Caenorhabditis elegans: one gene and its partner. The protein of the gene in region 1 interacts with the protein of each later gene in a pairwise test. Each region holds a gene or a part of one and is shown on either strand. Other genes may lie near its edges. The genes, in order: K02E2.7 and R01H2.1.

What was found.
Region 2: the proteins of K02E2.7 (region 1) and R01H2.1 interact in a two-hybrid assay, tested with the Caenorhabditis elegans proteins (one large-scale study listed by BioGRID).

What each region holds. Positions count from the first base shown.
Region 1 is NC_003283.11:20,384,061-20,388,939, reverse strand, and holds K02E2.7 (Cilia- and flagella-associated protein 251-like), read left to right. Parts: upstream 1-1,897; 5' UTR 1,898-1,966; coding exon 1,967-2,032; intron 2,033-2,077; coding exon 2,078-2,161; intron 2,162-2,206; coding exon 2,207-2,341; intron 2,342-3,149; coding exon 3,150-3,266; intron 3,267-3,320; coding exon 3,321-3,372; intron 3,373-3,467; coding exon 3,468-3,686; intron 3,687-3,736; coding exon 3,737-3,817; intron 3,818-3,860; coding exon 3,861-4,171; 3' UTR 4,172-4,210; downstream 4,211-4,879. Other genes in the region: F53H2.1 (SH2 domain-containing protein), read right to left, coding at 406-465, 552-668, 799-927, 1,034-1,117, 1,160-1,225; K02E2.11 (Phosphatidate cytidylyltransferase), read right to left, coding at 4,708-4,745, 4,805-4,850.
Region 2 is NC_003281.10:7,060,989-7,063,714, forward strand, and holds R01H2.1 (Ovule protein), read left to right. Parts: upstream 1-1,891; coding exon 1,892-2,206; downstream 2,207-2,726. Other genes in the region: R01H2.4 (SERPIN domain-containing protein), read right to left, coding at 123-210, 256-337, 383-483, 533-699, 764-850, 894-1,051, 1,098-1,506, 2,636-2,716.

The DNA of each region.
Region 1 (4,879 bases):
TGTTCGCATTATGAGAGAAAGCTGTCAATTCTGACCCTTCTAATGTAGGTTTAATCTTTTTATAAATGTTCCTGAGCACTTTGGAACAAAAAACAAATTGCAAAATGTAGACGCAATTGTGGATATTGTTTTAATATTAAATGTTGTTTCATGAAAAAATTCCTGTCAAAATACAAACGCGCCGAATTTCAGCACCTAGAACATTTTTCTGAACATAGTTATACAAATTTGGCAACTTTGAAAGTGTAGATAAAGTAACCGTAAACATTTTGTTAAATAAAAATAATTTGCTAACTGTTATAGTTTTTGAGCTACACATGTTCGAAGAGCTGAAGCAAATCACCGAAAACTTGGAAATGAATAGAATATTGGCCGGCACTGTATGTAATAAATTCGCATTCCTACCGTATTTTTGTTTCTTTCGTGACGTAGGAGGCTCTTAACATTCAAATCCCGGTCATGAAACTGCAATACAATTGTCTCTCAATTTACACAAAGTCGAATAAAAATATTTGGCAAATCTTACTGCCAAGACAAATTTTTAAACTTACAGTAACATACAATTTGTCATCCACAACAACATAAGTGTAACATTTCTGTTGATCCCTGGCTTGTTTCAAGACATAATCAACAGACTCCCGATACTTCCAGTAGAACCTATCCCAATCCTGCAAAATTAATCAACTTTTAAAGCCAACTACTAGAAACATTTGTTTTAAATAGATATCTGACTCGAAGCCAAGCAAAAAGACGGAAAGTGGGTTTCATCATATTAAAACTTATCAAAATGAAACCCACTTTGTTTGAAATAGCCCATTCAACGTCTTCGTAGAATTTACCAACGTATCCAGTATAATTTCGGTGAGGATTAAGTAGATACTTCAAACATTCCATAAAGTTATGAGCGCAATATGTGACCGTGTAGTTCTACAAAATGTTTAAACTCTTGTGATTCCACAGAATTTGCACAGAAGTAACAATAAATGAATCTTCTGGTGAACAAGACTTAAACTAACTGAAAACTTGAAGTTACCTTTGGTAAATCGACAGTTTTTAAATTCTCTGATAGTTTTTTGAATTGGGCACTGTAGAAGTTATAGAATTTTCTATATTTACTCTGAAAAATTAGAAATTGAGTTATCACTTAATTTTTTCCTACTTTTTGGGAGCATTCATTGAAGAGTTGTATCATTTCCGGTGTAATATAAAAACAAGCGAAATCCATTCTGGGAATTTCACGAATTTAACTTGTAAGCACTGCGGAAAGTTATCAAGAAACAAAATGTCAACTGAACTGATGTGCTGAAAGAAAAAAACCAAAGGTTAACTTATTGCTAGGCCTATGTTGAAAATCGATCACTGATAACAGTTTGTTTGTGGAAACATTTTGGAGTGAGGAATCGTTCAATATAGTTTGTAATCAACCTATAGGTTGCAGAAATTGTATGAGGAGTGTTTTTATTTGAAAAAAAGTTTGCCGTACATTCACTAAAGTAAAAAAAAACATGAATTTTGATTTGAGTTGTGCTTTTTTTTCAATTGAGAGACTTTTAAGTCTGTCGATTAAAAAACTAATAAGAAATTCGTAACTTAAAATGAGTGAAGATCGCATAATAATAATTTTCCAATAATTCCAATACAAGAAGTCAGCTATGATCTTACAAAGGCCAGAAGCAGGATGTGAAAATTTTTCAGTTTTAGCAATCGTACAAACAAATTGAATACTCTTTACTTTCTGAGCGGTTAAAAACTGATAACAGAATAATGTACTAGGAATAGATATTTCAGTTTAACATCACTATTAATTCCTTAGATGTGAAAACTCCTCGTTTGGTTTTTCTGCATAAACATCAAACTCTTATCAGTAACTTCCAACATAGACATACATAGCAATACTTTTCGAGTCACAGTTTTGTAATTGACATATTTTTTCTTGCTCATTAAATTCTATTAATTCGATTTCATAATGGAAATTCCATCTTTTCATATTACACCAGATATGAGAAACTTATTCAGTGAATGTGTTAAAGAAGTAAGGTAGTTTCCAAATTGATGACTTAATTCTTAACTTTTTCAGGGAAGTTATAAACTTTTCTACGACTTATACAAGAGTGAGTTCGAAGATCTAGCCGTACATTTGAAAACTGTCAGACTACCGGAGGTAACTCAGCTTTTACGGCGCAGTTGATAAAAAGTAACGTTCAAGGACACCGTACTCCACTACTGCGTAAGCAACTTCATGGAATGCGTGGAATATTTAATTCATACTGGCCGCGGATACAACTATTATGGTCACGTTTTTAGCTTTTACAGGGATGTTGACTGGGCAATTTTAAATGGAGTGAGTTTAAATTAATTTGATTTACATTTGAGCCACTTTCTTATAAAAATACACATTAAAGGTGGACTACACCCTGTGGGGAAATTGCTTTAAAACATGCCTTTGGGGTCACAATGACCGAATATCATGATGAAAAAATTTTAATAAAATTTCTAGGTTTTAAATGATTTTTTGAAAATTGAGAAAATCTCAGTTTTCCCCTAATTCCTATTTGAATTTCCGCCAATTGAATTCGTTCGATGGAGCGCGCTTGCATTATTTTCATAATTTTTTTATTTTATATTCATTATTTCACTGAATTTCTTTATTTTTTGGGGGTTTTTCATCGGAAAATGAAAGAAATAAACAAGAAAGAAGCAAAATGTTTATTTGAAAGTAATTGAAAATGCCTTAAACTCTGAAATTATGCGATCCGACGACGATGAGCCTGAAATTAATATTATTCAGAGTTTTAGGCATTTTTAGTTACTTTTTAATAAACATTTTGCATTTTTCTTGTTTATTTCTTTCACTTTCCGGTAAAAAATCCCCAAAAAATGAAGAAAATCAGTGAAATAATGAAAATAAATAAAAAAATAATGAAAATAATGCAAGCGCGCTCCATCGAACAAATTCAATTGGCGGAAATTCAAATAGGAATTAGGGGAAAACTGAGATTTTCTCAATTTTCAAAAAATCATATAAAATCTAGAAAAATTTTTTACATTTTTTATCATGATATTCGGCCATTGTGACCCCAAAGGCATTTTTTAAAGCAATTTCCCCACAGGGTGTATGTAGTCCACCATTAAATAATGTTTGACTTCAGGATTGGAGCAGATTTTACTGGAAATTTCGCGACTCCGTAGATTATGTTATAAAGAAAGCAAGAGAGCAACGGAAAATTCAAATTTATGTTGTTGAAGGAAGTGCACGTTATTCTTCTGTAAGTCATGCCTAGTTCCCAAAGATTGAACGTTTCTGACTTATTTCATTGCAGTTCCGTAGCCGTGATCGCAAAAATCCCAAAGAAAATTCTCCAGAAACTCGAGGTATGGTTTAATTTTTTTTAAGTCTAAAAAAAATTCAGCACAACCCTCTGATAATCTAAAACTAGACGTCTTAGTATCAGAAAACTCTGATTTAGTCCAAAAACCAGTCCTGGAAGATTTTGAGAAAAAATCGCAAGAGCGGGAAAATCGAAGACGAGAGCTTGAAGAGGAGCTGAGGAAACTGGATCTAGAGGAAAAAGAGCAACTGGCTATGATTTCAAACTTCAAAAGCCCGGAGCCGGAACTTCAACCAATTTCCCCGCCACCCTCAATACATGATGACCTTATAAATGACATGGATGGCGGAATGTTTGGTTAGCTCACACTTTTGAAAAAAACAACTTGTTTAAAAAAAAGTTTGTAGGTTCTGAAAAAACTGACGATTCAAGTTTGGAAGACTTGCAGCTTCATGTACAAGAAATGGACAAGAATACTATGTTAACAGGTTAGTTAAATTTTTTATTATGTATAAACATGTGTATGTACAGAAAATTTCGATCAAGATCAAGAAGAACTGAAACTTTTTGTGCAAGAACTAGAGCAAAACGCTGCTGAAACAATTAACAATTCCTCTCACCAACTCGAAAATGCTCTGAAAGCTGAAGAAAATATTGAAACTGAAATCTCTGAAGAAGAAGCTAGCGACGATGAAGAGGAAGACAATTTCCACACAATGCTCCAAGAACAAGCTGCACGTCACAAGGAAGAAATGGAAAAAGTCATGAAAAAACGGGCGGAGCAGAAGAAAAAGCTTGAGGAGCTAAACAGAAAAGTTAATGCAATAGTTTTTTACAAATAACTTAAGTTAGGTATTGTGTTCTTAAATCCTCACAATAAATCTCTCACTTACTATATATTTCGAAAACTTGCTTATTCATTGCGAATTTCAATTTTTCATAAGAAAATCTGGTTCATAGAACTTTTAACCTTTTAACCGATGTCATTCTAAACACTTTTGGTATTTCATTGACAGGTTCTGAAATTTGTTAAATAATTTTAAAACTTTTTGAAAAATTTCGAAAATTTTTTTTGGAATTCTCTGAAACTTTTTAGAATTTTTAGAATTTACTTTTTAAAATCTGTATTTTTCTGAAATTATTTAAACACTTTCTGAAATGGCTCTTTTTGTAGAGTTTTCAGACCTTTTCTGGAATTTTCTGAGCAAACTTCTAATATTTCATTGAGTGTCTATTAAAATTATTTAAACAATCGATTCATTGACAAAAAATAAAAAAATATGAACAGATATTCTGTATGAGGTGTCTAAATAAATTTTAAAAATCAAATTAAAACTTGAGTAGATATCGTGTATGAGGTTTCACAACCCTTCCATCTTTAAAACCCGTTGCAGATAACTGGTACAAGGATTATTTCTGAAAAATAAAGAAAATTATTGTATAAGTATGTACATATTTTTTCTCTAACTATGTACCTTGAAAACGCTTCGAATAGTTATTCAATTTCGCCTCCAGGTCCATCTACAAACAACATTCCTGAAAAAAAATTG
Region 2 (2,726 bases), on another chromosome or scaffold:
CAGAAGAAAATGATATCAAGCTGGACAACTAAATTTGTTATTCAATACTTTATTCATATGGTAAAATTGGAATCAATAATTAAAAAAGCAATTATTTTTAATTTGAACAGTCGCGGTTGGATTCAACAACAAACCCAATTCTTCTGCCTTTTCTCAGTTTCCTTAAGTTTCATCTCTTCGATTTCCTGCTCTGTCTTCTCGCCAGTTACTCTGAAATTCAAAGAAAAGTTGTAGCTGATTTGTTTGGGGACTCACTTTCCCATATACACTGGAATTTCATGCTGGCGATCCCAAAGAACAACGCATATTGGGTACTGCACCAATTCGACTTGATTTGCTGGAAAAAGTTAACGATTACTGCATATATTCTCACTGATCCTACCATTCTTTTCATTCATCGGAATTTTCACAGGTTTGTTAGTTCTCTTTTGCTTCTTGTTTCGGGACTGACGAGACTTTTTGCCGAGCAATGTTTTTTCCTCTCTGAAAGTTTTAAAAAGTTCCTAAGCTTTATTTAAACTCAAAAACTTACGGTGTTCTCAAATAAGTCTTTTTCGGAGAATTTCTGAATGATAGAAGCCCAAAGTGTTGGAGATGACTGACTTTTTTGGGATCACCAGTTGCCGATGGAACAGCATCTTCTACAGCTAAATCACCGAAACCTCCAGCAACAAACAATGAATTTAGATTCATCGTAGCCTGAAACAAACATATTTTTAGAGGTTTCTATACATACTTCTTTATGTATATTCAAAAAACAAACCACCAAATGCTGTGAAATCCTACTCGATGGGAAATCTTTAGTCTTCCAATGTGGCAGATAGATTGACATTTTCGGCGAGGTATTATTCTGAAACCAGAACTTTCAGTATAATATAATCCTCTAAACTTACATCATTCGCTTTTCGAACAATACATGGACAACTCGAATCATAATAGTTTGAAACGAATTTTCGCATGACTTCTAGAGAGCATAATCCCGACTTATAACCATAAAAAACGAGCATCAAAAGTTGTCGATTTTGAGCAGGAACCATTACAGTGTTGAATTCTGAAAATTTTGTTTAGAATCAGATCGAATGTCCGGTAACAATTACCAAATTTTCCTCGATGAATCTTAATGGGCTCTGCAACAGATCCATGAACTCTCACATATTCCAAGTGATTCCACGTGTAAACATGTTCACCATCAAAGTACTCATCAGGCATCTCAACAACTGCATGATTTATCCACACAAGTATCGGTGCCTTTTTCTCATCTTCATTTGGATCTTTATAATTAATTCCATGTTTTGGAACTGGTGATGATAATACAGGAATCAGTGATGCAGATGCTTTATTATTTCCAGTTTGACATGCTTCATCCTTTTTTTGTTTTCTGCAATTTCCCGACGATTGTGCTTTGGAACTGAGCTCATCCACTATTTTTTGTTGTTTCATCCGATCTAAATGCGACAGATCACGTGACCACATAGACAGGACCTTTTGTGACTTGGCGAATTCCGTCTGAAAATTTTGGTAACTTTTTTCGAGTGTTATACTTTATTGTAAAAATCTTGAAAACTTGCAACTTCACTTTAAAAGCACACGTCAATTCTCTCGTTTGGTCTCGCCACGCAGTACTAACTAGCTCCAAAACTCATATTTTTATTTTATTTTATGAAACTGGATTTTTCTAAATTTAATATTATTGAATTCTCAAAAATATAAATTAGTATCTTTGCAAACAAACGGCACTAGAAGTGAGAAGAGCGTAAAAACTAAAACTTTGATATGCCTACAGTAGCCGGGGTTCTACACCAAAAGAGCAGTATTGACAAAAGACAGGCGTAGGTGGCCTTAAAGGCAAGAACGCGTTTTTGTGCCAACATGTAAACAAATTGATAATATGATGGCTTCTGGCAAGGCAACAAGCCTATATAGCCACGCTGAAATCTTCCTCCCATCCAAACAAGAATCTGGAATCAAGAAGAAAAGCGGAGAGGAAACCCAACAGACCAAGGGAGCCACCATTGAATCTAGCCGAATCAACCAAAACCGTGCTGAGAGGACACAGAGGTTCCAAACTCAATGCTCAAAAAGAAAACCATACGAGATTCGTCAGGGAATTCCTGAGAGGAGCTCCTCCAAACAGGATCCTGGGAACAAGACCGCCAGCATTGAACATCGAGGAAGAGAAAATCCTTCCGAAACCCACGAGAGTTGAATTGGCAAGAATGCGATGTGGCCACTCACTGATGATCCCCAAATACAAGGAGAGAATTGAAGGTACCCCGGTTGGTACAAGTGGTTGTGGGGATAAAGAAGGAGGGATAGTACACTTTCTATGCGGAAGAAGAAAACCAATCAAGATGAAGAAACTGTGGACTTCCCCCAAAGAGGCCGCCCAAGCAATTGGACTGGCCGTCTAGACTCTACGATCCGGGTGGTGGAGACGCGTGACAAATGTCTATTGAGACGGCGTAGGCCGCCATGTTGCACGACAACAACAACAACATGATGGCTTTGGATGCGCTATACTACAACTACAGTATCCCAAAACAGCAGACGATTGTTTTCATGTACCTGAAATATTTTAACCTCAACAACTCAACCCAGAGTAAAACCACTTTATATGAATTTTCCCATAAAGTACCTCTAAATTCCTCGTGGCCCATCTTCTGACTTCTCCGAATCCTTCAAACACCTTTTCCTCGACACGAAACAAACGGAAAAACTAGAAAAGT